Linked DNA regions of Drosophila melanogaster. The protein of the gene in region 2 interacts with the protein of the main gene of each other region in a pairwise test. Each region holds a gene or a part of one and is shown on either strand. Other genes may lie near its edges.

The links. Proteins that work in one complex are often made in the same cells at the same time.
Region 1: the proteins of CG46298 (region 2) and Peritrophin-15b interact in a two-hybrid assay, tested with the Drosophila melanogaster proteins (one large-scale study listed by BioGRID).
Region 3: the proteins of CG46298 (region 2) and CG18649 interact in a two-hybrid assay, tested with the Drosophila melanogaster proteins (one large-scale study listed by BioGRID).

The regions. Positions count from the first base shown.
Region 1 is NT_033779.5:8,393,366-8,397,481, forward strand, and holds Peritrophin-15b (Peritrophin-15b), read right to left. Parts: upstream 1,576-4,116; 5' UTR 1,517-1,575; coding exon 1,507-1,516; exon of another isoform or gene 1,440-1,506; coding exon 1,168-1,439; 3' UTR 1,081-1,167; downstream 1-1,080. Other genes in the region: lectin-29Ca, read right to left, coding at 195-905; Peritrophin-15a, read right to left, coding at 2,348-2,616, 2,688-2,697; CG13385 (uncharacterized protein), read left to right, coding at 3,375-4,116.
Region 2 is NT_033778.4:10,351,000-10,355,452, forward strand, and holds CG46298 (uncharacterized protein), read left to right. Parts: upstream 1-2,368; 5' UTR 2,369-2,516; coding exon 2,517-2,906; 3' UTR 2,907-3,037; exon of another isoform or gene 3,038-3,106; 3' UTR 3,107-3,390; downstream 3,391-4,453. Other genes in the region: CG46305 (uncharacterized protein), read right to left, coding at 655-726; CG43172 (uncharacterized protein), read right to left, coding at 735-737, 794-859; CG43200 (uncharacterized protein), read right to left, coding at 1,067-1,132; CG43178 (uncharacterized protein), read right to left, coding at 1,534-1,599; CG43171 (uncharacterized protein), read right to left, coding at 1,757-1,828; CG43201 (uncharacterized protein), read right to left, coding at 1,936-2,007; CG12902 (uncharacterized protein), read right to left, coding at 4,039-4,233.
Region 3 is NT_037436.4:15,052,488-15,056,793, reverse strand, and holds CG18649 (uncharacterized protein), read left to right. Parts: upstream 1-2,658; 5' UTR 2,659-2,690; coding exon 2,691-2,969; 3' UTR 2,970-3,226; downstream 3,227-4,306. Other genes in the region: EAChm (enhancer of acetyltransferase chameau), read right to left, coding at 1,337-1,972; CG43680 (uncharacterized protein), read left to right, coding at 3,499-3,648.

The DNA.
Region 1 (4,116 bases), on a different chromosome or scaffold from region 2:
AAATCTACTATGGTGTATTGAAAAAAAAAAATATAAAATGCCTAAAGTTAATAGCTTTATTATTAAAGACACATTGCAATTTTGATGATTTAAAAAAAATACATATTAAAGTTTAAAGGAGTTCAATTTTTAAACCTTTATTATCAAAGTCACATTTAAAGTTTAAAATAGTTCTAAAAATCAATGCTCGATATTCAGGCCCATTGCTCGGCTTGGCAAGCAAAATAGTTATCATTGGCACAATTTTCAAAGTACATTTCATTGGAATTGATATACACGCAATGGTTATGTATATTTGTGGCCAGATTTGGCTTCCATTTCAGAAATGGTACATCCCTTCCGGATAGTGTAGAAATCCAGGACGCTCCATCGTTGGCACGGCTGTTGATATCTACCCAGTACTTTTTTTTGGTTTCCTCTGAGAATATTTCATTCAGCTCCTTCTCATCGAGGATATTCGCCAGGTGACCGCCCATTTGACGACACGTGTCGTATGCGCTATCCCAGGGCATCTTCTTTTGCTTTTCTAAGTAAAAGTGCCGGGAGCCAATCTTCTTGAATACGGACATTTTGATTTTGTTGGACATTTTAACGTTTTCCATGTAGGGTTCAATTTGTTGCTTTAGAGCCCGAAGTTTAGTTTCCATCTGGTTTTGAAAGGACTGCAATCGCATTTCTAAGCGTTGCTCCATATTACCAATTCTCCACAAAGTTCCATTTTGTCTTAGCGAATTGTAGGTAAACCAGTGCTGCTGGTGCATATCAATATTCTCGATTGTATAATACGGCATTGGTGCTTTTGGCAATTCATTTGTTCCTGTGGAAGTATCCTGCTTTTTGGCACTGACGCCCCAAAAGTTCCATAAAGCGAAAATGGAGAAAATGCAAGTTGCGTACTTGTACATTTCGAGGGCTAATAGTCTGTGAGATCAATTATTTAATTCCTCCTCGGACTAACCCTTTTTTTTACACTTCCCAACGAGATAATCACCCGGAACATTAACCTTTTCAAGCATTAAATACTCTGTTAAAAATTCGATAAAGATCCGAGAAATCTAGAGATATATTCTAGACTTCATTCAAGCCCATCTTCCCAGTTAAATACCATTACAAATGAACCAAAAAAAGTTAATGAAAAACGTATAAACTGCAAGAGAAGTTTATTGCTTAAGTGGATGCTTCGGAACATGGAGGATACCACTGCCAAACGCTCCAATCGACGCAGCTTCCAGTTTTCGGATCGAATCCAGTGTTCTGCTCGCAGGCAACTAGCTCGGCCTGTCCGGTGCTAGAGCACTGCCAGTAGTGGGTTGGATCCCAGAAGTCACGGGAAATCTCTCCGGAGCGTCCCACGCAATCGGGCTCACCATTGCCATCGGGATTGCAGTCAAGGTCGGCGTAGATGGCAACGCAGAGGGTCAGGAAGAGAAGGACTAAAGCTGAAACAGAATTCCGCTATTGGCATCTCAATGGTTTCAGCGATGTGAGGTCATCAATGAAACTCACCTGCTTTCATTGTGGTTTGTTCGAGTGATTAATACCGAATGCGATTGGAACGCAACGTTCGACATTTTATAGCCACCTGCTATCTATTCCCTGACATATTGTCTGAGACAATCGGAGCTATACATTCTATTTCTTAAAGAACATGAAATCGTTTAAAAATAATCTCATGATCACGATTGGTATCTGTATCTCGACAATTCGAACATTTGACGCCGTCGTACAATTCGTTTTCAAACAAAGAAGTATATTTCACCAAGTGTTGTAGTATACTTAGTTATGATATTAAAATATTATTGAACAAAAAATTTGCATATGATTTGTTTGAATTGACCGGCTCCTATTTAGACAATTTATACCCTGTAAAACTTTACACACTGAGACACAGTGTTTTTGAAATAAACAAACAAATTTTGAAACCAAGCTCTAGTTAAAAAATAAAGTTGTTTGTAAAATTAAAGTATATTGTTTATACTTTATATGATAAAGTATAATTTACTTTTCTCTCGTTCATAAACATTTTATTGCATTAAATGCAAATTAGTAGCAATACGAGTACTGTCTAATCTTTATAGGTTTCCAAGATATCATTTGGACAAAAACATCTCAAAAATGTTATTTACAAATAATAATGAAACTCGTTAACACTCAACTGTACTCAACATCCTATAGAAAGCGACTGAGCAGAAACAAAATATTCTATATACCAATCTAGGTTGCTCTATAACATTTTCCCATATCTTCGAATACTCGCAAGAACATGAGATATTTTAAAAATCCAAACAATGTATGTAATCATTTAGTTTGCCATATATTTTCATTTTTGTTGTTATTAAAAATGCAATCAACAGTAAGCAGTCCAAGACCATTCGCTCCATGAAACGCACTCCTTCTTTGTGGGGTCGAATCCAGTGGACAACGGGCACAACACAGCCGTGGCCGTGGAGGTGGAGGACTCACACCACCAGTAGCGAGTGGGATCCCAGAAGTTGCGGATGTTCGTTTGCACGTTGGATGCGTCGCTGCAGTCGGGCTGGTTGTCAGAATTGGGATCGCACGCATTTCCGGTGCTTAGGAGCGCCACGAAGAAGGCAAGGCAGATCAAAAGTAGTGCTATGGGATCGGCAAAGGGTTGAAGTATATTTCAAATGGGGATTCCTTTTCGATTTGCTCAGCTAACTTACCGGACTTCATGGTGCAATTGAGTTCCCACTGGTTTCGTAAGTGTGCTTTAACTGGGCGAATTCGCAAGCTTATATACCCCAGACCGGCACTGATATTGGCTTTCATCAATAGCAGTTATCTCCGTTGGCGGGAAGCCTGTGCGAAATTCTATTTTGGCAGCGACATGAAATCGTTTCAAAATAATCGCACCTTGTATCGCCCACCGTATCTGTATCTGTATCTCAGCGCATTGTACGCGCCCCTAAGTTTTGTTGACGCAATAGTTTGATTATATGGATGTGTCGTAAAGGTCATGCCGCGTGCCACAATCCAAACTGGGTAGCACTCCTATCAATAAGTTAAATATAGTACAAAACTAGGACAGTAAGGTTTATAATCGAAATTTAAATTTGGGGGCTTCTATTCAAATACCTAATACTTAACCGTGGGGAACCCCACATTCTTAACGCAAACAAGTCATTAGAATTACGCATTTATATTTATATTAATATACTACCCTTAACTGTTGGTGATAGCACTACCGCACTACTAACCTGGTTTTTAATCAACCCATCCGCTATACCGTATACCATACATATCGAAATATAAAACTCCAAAATATAACATTAAATCGCAGTAGGTGTCACACAACTAATTATTTGCGATATTAATGATTACAAATTGCTCGTGATAAATCTCCCATAGCGATGGAGTCGAGGGTCACCAGCGGCACAGGTCCACCGAACACCATTATGATCCAGCTGGTGTCCCAACAGCCCAGTTCCTGTGGACAGATGCAGGCCATGCCCATTTCGGTGCAGACGATACCCTTGTTCCCCAATTCCAGAACATCGACAGAGCGACCTTGTCGATCGGTCTCCATTGCCCCGAATGTAAGACCTCCAACGGATGTCCCTCCTCCTCGAAGGAATTTAAGAATCCGACCCGAGGAATATGCGACACCCAAGCGGAAGAATTCGCAAAGCCAGTTTCGTCATTTCTCCCGCAGCATAAACCAACCTCCACCGGTGTACTATGTTCTTCGACCAGAAGACCGTATTATGCCCATCTACATACCACCTCCGAGGTTTAACAATGAGCAAGGATCAAGGATGGCGACGGAGTGTCCTTGCTGTGGCCATGCCAAGTCATTGAACCCGGAGGAACCTCTAAGAGTCCACGTAGCGCAGAAAGAGTTTGTCAAATTAGAGAAGGCAACTCCTGGACATCGGGATCAATGTACTAACACCATTGACCAGCCAGATGTGGGAAATATAAGGACGATTTACGAAACATTGGGACGCGCAATGGTCACTGCAGCCGTGGAGGCAGCCCAGAGATCCCAGCCAGCAGGACCCTCAGATCCGACAAATGTAATATTGAAACTATTAACCCAATTGGGGGAGCAGAATCAAACAACAGGCTTGAGTCCACATTCAGAAGCAGTAG
Region 2 (4,453 bases):
TTTGTGCGGCTGACGACGCAGAACACATATACATATGTATAACCCTGGATTTGCGCAATAATCAATCATAATGAATGGCCAGGTGGAGGTGGTCAATGGGATACCAAGCCCCCCGCCACCACACAAAATGTCAAATTGGTTGCCCTTAAAGTTTGCTCTAACTCTCACCTTCGTGGCCCCAAAAGATTGAGGAAGTGGAAAGTTTTCTCCTTTCCTTTAAGTTGGCAAAGTTTTACCCAACTCAGATCCTGACGTATGTATTTATTGCCGCTGCCTTTTGTTTTTTCAGCCATTAAAAGGAAAGGTGGGAAAAATTTTCACAAAGTCATAAATGCGTTCAACTTGGCTTAAATCCCCAGCGACTATCTACTGAAAACTGTGAAAAGGATTTTATCCGTAAATTTGTTATATTGGGAACAGTCAAGCTAACCCGCATAGTTTATTTCCTAAGGTTTACTTACGAATCAATATAAAATGTTTTTTGTCTAAGGGTTAATTACCTGGAACAGAGAAAAGAAACAGCAATTAGGCTTAGTAAACAACAATACAGTATGATTGTGACAAATTTCTTTATTCCAAATTCATTTTAAATATAGTTCTCGGGACATCTGGTTTTCGATAAAAGGTCTTAATTTATCCGTGGGTTCCTCCTATTCAGGGTTCACAACGGCGGCATACGAACATGCCAAAAACCATGCCCATCCCAAAGCATATTACATAGGACATGATTGTGTTTACTAAGGAAGGGAATTTGAATATCACAAGATAACGAATGGAATTTACAGAGACTTACGCGGGTATTCTTGGCGATGAGGAAACCAACGATGCCACCAACAACGAATGTTATAAACCGCTGCATATTTTAATGAAACTTGAATTCCCGAGATATTAACGGAAAATTTGTCTTATTTAAGAGCATACAAAACGTACACTTCGTTCTGACTGTCGATGGGAAACTGATTACTTTAATTTGAAGCACATTATTATAATGGAAAAAACCAAGCGTACTTGATTCTATTGTAATTTACCTTCATAATTTTGCTGAAAGAATTTTCTAAAGCGGCTCCTATGTATTCTGCGATATAAGATAACCCACAACGCAGCCAATAATAAAGATTAGAATCCATTCCATTTCCGCCGATAACTTTAATTTTAGGTGTTCGAGCGACCTAAATAGTTCAAAACGAATACGTTATGAGCTGACTTTACTAGAAAAGCCAACTTATTTGATACGGTAATGAATAAGTATTCATGTTTAGCAATGCTTACGAAAATATTGATTACCTTATTGATTAACTTAATGGTCATTGAGAAAATCAATCCCAATTTCCAGTCCCTTTTCTGCCTGCTATGGCACTGAGCTTGCTGCATGCTACATCACTAGCTGTACTGCTTGCAAATCTTCCATTCTCAAGCAATTCTCCAAAAATATAATGAATACGAAAGTTTAAATTTTATTTATTGTTCATTTTAATATATGCAATGTTCCTCATAATTGATTTAAGTTATAATTTTCTTTTTGGGAGCTTAGGCTTAGCACTTTCGGCAGCTCATCATTCCGATAATCACGCCCAAGGCGAAGGATATAACGTGCGTCATTTTGATTTTTTCTTAGGTTTCGAAAGTAAGAAAATGATTTCAAGCGCTTGATACCAAATGTTATCTTCCCAATCAAAATCCAGTCCAGTCGGGATTTTGAATTTCAGGATGGCATAAGATTTCAGGCGAACTTTACCCAAAGATTTCTTGCCTATCCTCAGGTATTCTTGGCCACGACGTATCCCACCAAACAGCCAGCTAGAAATGTAATTACCCAATCTACATCCATTTTATAAAACGAAAGTAGTGGGTTTGGAACTTGTAAAGCCTAAAATAAACTAAAATTGAGTGGTTTGAAAAAGCCTACCACAAATGCAAAGGAGCTCTTACCTTTTTCTAATTATGCTTGCCTATCAAATACCCCACAATACAGCCTACAATAAAAGTGATGAACCACGAGTTATCCATAATTTTCAGCCCTAAAGTATCAGTACTTTTTGTTAGGTCTTTTTGAAAAAATTGTTAATTTAGAATTTTGCACTTTAAAGCGACAATACTATCAATGAAATAGAGACTAAGGAGTTTGATTTTAATTTTAGAAAAATGCATTTTACATAACGTTTTGTTTTTGGCTTTGTTTTTCAGATGTATTAGAAAAAAGGATTGTGACTTTAGCCTAGACATTATAAAGAAGAAGATAGGATGCTTAAAGAAGGATCCATTTTGAAAGGATTGCGGTCGAAGAAAGTACTGGTGTAATCTTAAACCTTAGGCATAATGAGTGTTAGGTTTTATCAAGTAGTTTACGAAATAAACGTCAAATACTTAACTCACATCCAAAGGCAACACAGGCCCCACTGTTCTAAATTTCCCATTCGGCTAACATCATTTTTCTGATTTTTTTTTTGGCGTAAAATTAACACGTTATTAGAGGGACCCTGTGATTGCGCGGACATCTAATCCATAATCCTTTGAAGATGTGCGACAAGCCCGCCTGCCCCCCGCCTCCGCGATGCTGTCCTCCGCCACCGCCTCCCTGTCGCCCGCCGCCCACCTTGTGGCAGAAATTGAACTGCGTTCCGTGCAACCGTTTTGTGTTCTTCATGATCGGGGCGGGCATCGGATTATTCTGGGACCATATGAAGAAGGAGGCCCAGAAGGCGGCCGAGGAGGCCGCGAAATCGCCCAAGGAGAAGGAGAAGGAGGCCAAGGAGCGCGAGAAGAAGCAGAAGGAAAAAGAGAAGGCCGAAAAGGAGAAGGCGGAGAAGGAGAAGAAGGAGAGGGAGAAGAAGGAGAAGGAAAAGAAGGAGAAGGAAAAGAAGGAGAAGGAGGCCAAGGGCAAAGAGAAGGGCAAGGAGGGCAAGTAACGACTATAGACCCCCAAACGGACATGTCAAGGAGCAGGATGTTTTCCCCCAAAATTCTCATCGAATCCATATCGTTTCTAAACTTCAAAATTTTCAAGTGCATTATATGGCATACCTAACGATAACTATTGGTCAGTCCATTGCCGCGTTGATGGAAGGCTTCTTTATTTACTATCTAGTGTCCACCCTTATAATTCCAGATCAAGTAACAAGATCGGATGGGATATTTAACTGGAGAGAGGAAATGCCTTTGCGAAATTTGGATAACCATATCAGGCTTAAAATTATACATCACCCGAAAATTGAAATTTACATTTTGGGTTCGTGATGATTTTGAGATATGATCATGATCTATGTTCTTACCGCTAAGGCTTTCTAATACGTTGATATTCTATTAAAAATTGTACAATGAATACACACCAAATGTATTGCCCTCTGCAAGGACCCAAAATTAGTAAATTTATCTAAAGTTATTCAACAAAAATTTGAGAATATTTGTGGTTGGTCAATCAGACTTTAATTATTATACAAAGCATAAGATTGCAATTTTTAATTGTAATAGGCACTTAGTTATCGGTAAATTCGATGTTCATTTTCATAACTCGTTACTCGTAGTTTCGTTTAAAAGAAAAAGAATTAGAACGCGTTTCTTGATCAAGATCAATAAGGAAGTCGATCAGGTGCTCTGCAAATTTTGTTACAGGACGATTAATGAAATAATCAAATCATGTCACTAAAGTACTATTTACAAACATTTAGCGAACAATTGCTCCCACAGATTTGAATAATGAGCCCATATTAAAAACACAGTAAGTCTTGTACAGCACCAATTTTATAGCATTTTCAACAGAGGAATATATAATAGAGAATAGATCAATCGAATAAACCTGTATTAAATGTGGCAGTTAATTGTTCGATTGACAAATTGCTCTTTAGATAAATTTATCGACTGAGAAATTTCCTCTCCATTCCATTCATCGGCGGACAAACTTATCGAATGGCATTTTGTCTTCCCTGGCTAACGCTGCAAACGGTTGGGTAACTTCATGGGTGATGATGAGTCCAGGTTCAATTAGCTAGTGCCAGGCTTGGATGATTGATATTACCGCCGGGCATGGCAGATCGGTCAGTCCTACTTCTTGGCCTTGCCTTCGTCCTTCTTTTTGCCGCCCGACTTGTCGTCCTTGTTGCGCACGAAGAGCACGCCCAGTCCCACCCCGATGACGAAGAACAGGACGCGGTTGCACGGCGTACAGTTGAGCCTGGCAAGGAGCGACGGCATCGGCCGGCACACCCTGCGGACCTCGGTACGCTTACAACAGGGCATGGCTGCAAAAGCTCGACAGGATTTGCCACAATTTAGACCAAAACTGGAATCGCTGTCTGATGGATGTTAAATTAAAACCAAACACGTTATAAATTTTGTGTACGTCGAAAGTCTGATATACTGATTGTAAAGCCAAATAAACACTGAGCTATGTCAGAGCTGCCGCGTTGACAGGACGTTGAAGTGGCTCGAAGTTTGCCGACTCGACTACTAGATCAAA
Region 3 (4,306 bases), on a different chromosome or scaffold from region 2:
ACTTTAGTGTTGCGTACCAGAAAAAAAAAATATTCCGCACGGTTAAGATATTAGCTGTTTAAAACAGCTGTTCGGAGTGCCGTGCGCACAATCGCTTGTTTAAAAACAACACAATCACTTTTAAATTAATAATGTTGTAAATTGCGCTTTTAGGTGTATTCGCTGAAACAATAACTAATGTTTAACTAGAGATTTAAACATGAACTGCACCCAACTTCACTATAATATATATACTGTGTTGTAGGTAATTGAATTCTTGTTCTTTTGAATGTAATCTTAATGTGCAACTTCAGGTTCTCTAATGCGGAAATGTTTAAGATTTGGTGCTCTGCTGCTAGTAAACGTACAAGAGAGAAGACAATACAATGAATCAATACAATGCAGTAAAAGTAACAAAACAGCGCAATTAACATATAAAAGATAAAACCAAACCTCTCAGACAATACTGGATATATATAAAATCTCAATAGCTCATTCAGTATTTGGTGATAATGAGGACAGATTAAAAAACATTGCAAAAACTTTTTTCACTCGGTCAAAAATTGATCCCGAATATTTGGTTTTACCTTAAAGATATTTTGGTAACAAAATTAAATATAAGGGGCGGTGCCACGCTCACAATTTTTGGTATCGTAAAAGATATGGCCTAGTGTAACCCAATGCAAAAAAAAAGAAATTGAATGTCTTTATCCGTTCTGGGTAAATCTATAATCTCATTGTCAGCATTAAAAATTACTAACACGCGCCGCATTATAATGCAATTCGCCTATGTTCGACGAGCACCTGACTGCCGTTGCCACTTTTACCTTTATCCTTCTTGTTGACTCCTTCGTTGGCAACATTTCTTCCCTTTTAACCGCCTCCAGGAACTGTTTACAATTGCGCACAAGTCGTCAATGGCTGTCCTCGTCCTTGGGCTCCCTCCAATGGCATCTGGATGTTCCAACACGAACTGCTTTCACTTTCCTAGATTTTTTCACAGATTGTGCATTCAACTAAACATCATTACGTTTTTCCAGTTGCCCCACGCAAATAAGCAACTTAAGCTGAAATTTTATGATTGCGGCTTCTTTAAGAACATTTAATTTGTCACAGAAAATTATTGGAAAAACATATTACGTTTTCTTCAATTCTAAACAATTTATGGAAATTTAAAATTTGCGTTATTTTAAAAAGAATTTTATATCGTTCGTCTAAAAATATGCTTCAAATAAAAATCCATTTTTTTAATAAACTGTTTATTTTTATAAATGACTGATCCCAAAAATATGAAATGAAAATAATGTAACATGTAGTGGAGTGGTTTTTTATGAAAACTTTCAATAAGGCTCAGTGCCTATTCATTTTCCCTAGCGGCTATCTCTTTTTCGATGTCATCTAGAACCTGGTCAATAGCATCTTCCTCGGGATCGATCAGTTCATCCTCATTTTCGTTGTCTTCCTCGGATTGGTCATGGCCATCTTCCAACTCTTTCTCTTTATCGAGCTGATCCTCTTCTAGGTCATCAAGCTGGTCCTCTGAAAGATCTGTTTCGTTGTCGTCTTCGTCCTCTTCAGTTTGATCCTCCTGGTGGTATTGATCTTCGCCAGATTCCTCGTCACTCTGGGAAATCTCATGAGAAAACTCTTGGGAAATCTCGTGGGATTCCTCTGCACTGGACTGTGGACCCTCGACAATCTGACCATTGATGGTGGGCATGATGCGATAGTAACCGTTGTTATAGTACGGATACCAATTGTTGTTCCATTGGTTACGTGGTGACGATGGGGTAGTATTTCCCTGGTTGCTGTTGGCAACGGAATTGGACACTCCCGTAATGATCACCGTGTTGTTTCCAAACTTAACCGTCGTATTCCTTTGACCAGCCTCTGCCAGGACGGCCTGCAGCCAACCCAAATTCATCTGGGGAGCTGCATTGCCATAGGCAAGGATACCGGCAAAGATCAGAAGAGCAAATGCTATGGATTGCATGATTATCAAAAGTATACAGGCTGAGTGCAACTGAGACTATGATTTTCAATTAGCTTATCTTTGTTTTTATATCTTTAAAAAGTTGTCCAAATCGATCGATTTATTGTGACATGATTACATTATGCTAACAATCGTCAAGGTTCCATCATGGCCTACGATATATTTAGTTAGAAGTAGTTATTGTTTTTGGCTTACCACAAATACGACACCGAACATGTGAGTAAATATTAAGAAGTTTCGAGTAAGCGGAGCAAAACAAGCTAATGTGCTATGAATCAGAAAATAAGAATATGGAGGGCCATTCCCAAAATTTGTAAACAATTGTAGGTGGAACAGTGGTTATTCTACAAAGAAATAAAAAGGAGTCATTAATTTGATATAGACATTTTCATAAGCAAGTTAACTATGGATTATAACATGCTGTGTTTGCTTTCCTTAGGTTATACAATATATTGTATATAAAAGTATGACGTTAGCCACGTTTCACTGTAATCTTTATACGTTCTCCAAGTTCCGTCAGTCAAATGTTTACGCACGACTTTGCCTCATTTTTTGACGCTCAAACCAAGGCAACAGCTGTCGCGGGGTAAACACAAAACGAACCAAATAAATTGTCACAATGCGCGCTTTTATTTTTCTGCCAATTTAGAGATTTTGCTATAAAAGCGTATTTTCAATGTGGAACTGAACTTAGTTGAAAACTAAATTTGACAATACAATGCGTGCCTATTTGCTGCTTGCCCTGTTTGGATGTGTGCTTTTGGCCACAGTTTCCGCAAATCCGGTGGACATTGACGACTTGGAGGACCTCGAGGAGGACAAACGAATTGCTGATGAGCAGGATAATGCTAACGATGATGAGAAAGACGATGAGGATTCAAATGAACCCGAGTCCGACGACGACTTAGATGAGCCTGAATCCCCGGAGGACGATTCCCAGAACAATGATGATTCCGAAAGCGACGAGAGCATCCAGTACAATCAAGATGAAGAGTAGCTCTAATGGGAATTAACCCTTTCTATTCTTTATTGTCTTTATCTACACGCTTTCACCGGTCGTTAGACGTTTAAACAACTGTTTACACAGAAATACACAGTTCATCTTCAACAACCAAATAAGTAAAGGTTTTTATGTTATTCTAGTAAATACACACATTTCTGGAAACACCCATCATAATTGGTGCTTTTTACTTAACTTCTTTTTATACAGCTCTTAAATGATTTTGTAAAGAATTACATACTAAACAAAATCTTAAAAATGCAATTTTTATTTAATTAATTGGCCTCAAAGCCACTCTTAATACTCTTATTTCAGCGCAGGGAAAAAGAAATAATTTTCTGCCTGTAATGTGTGGCTCAATAGATCAATAAATGTTTTATCTCTCAAATATTTACTTAACATTAGTAAGGTGCAGCCATTGTGCAGTTTGCAATAGAAATTTTAAAGCAAACACGGCATTCATATATAAGAAGTGCAGTACTTTGAAAAAACTTATTCAAAGAAGAACTAAGTCTACGAAATAGAGATGCACTTTCTGATGGTACTCGTGATAATTGCTCTTTTGGCCATGGCCTTTGTGAGTGCAAGCCCACTTCCCCATCCAAGTGGAGAAGTTATCGTTATTGTCAACCCAAAAGCCCCAGTTGACTGGTGCTCTACAACATCAGCGGCTTAAATTCGAAAATACAAAAATATTTAGAAATTCTCCCCCGATGCAATTTCTCAAACACAAAATATGAAATGAGCAACTGATAAATCACCAATAAAGAAAATAAAAATAAAACTTATTCAGGGTAAAACTTTTAAATACGTTTTTTGGTCTTTATAAGTTAAATGAAATCAATAAACGTTTTGAAGTTCGATTTGGAGATATCAGATTTTTTATTTTGCTTTATATTAGCACATATTACCACGACGGAAATGAAAATCCTTTAGGCGAAGTAAATAGTAATGAAGGTAAGAAAATTTGTATCTAATGTTTTAAAAAGGCCAAAAACCATTCACTATCTTTTTAATTCAATGATTGCATGCGAGTGTGTAATAAATATGACAAAATAAAAACAGAGGTCGCTATAGTCAAGTGCCACGACTATTAGATACCTGTTAATCAGAATAGAGGCAAGCACAACGAACCCACTTACTCAAAACAATTCTGGACAATTCCCAGAATAATATCAATTAAGATTGTGCGTCACCACGCAATAATGGGATAAGCATTTGTTCAAATATGAAATTCGTAAATGACTCGTTCAAATAACAAAAAAAGGCATTTAATATAAAAAGCGATTGATCGAGTAAAGTTTCAAATCAGTTTAAAACTTCGCTGAGCACAA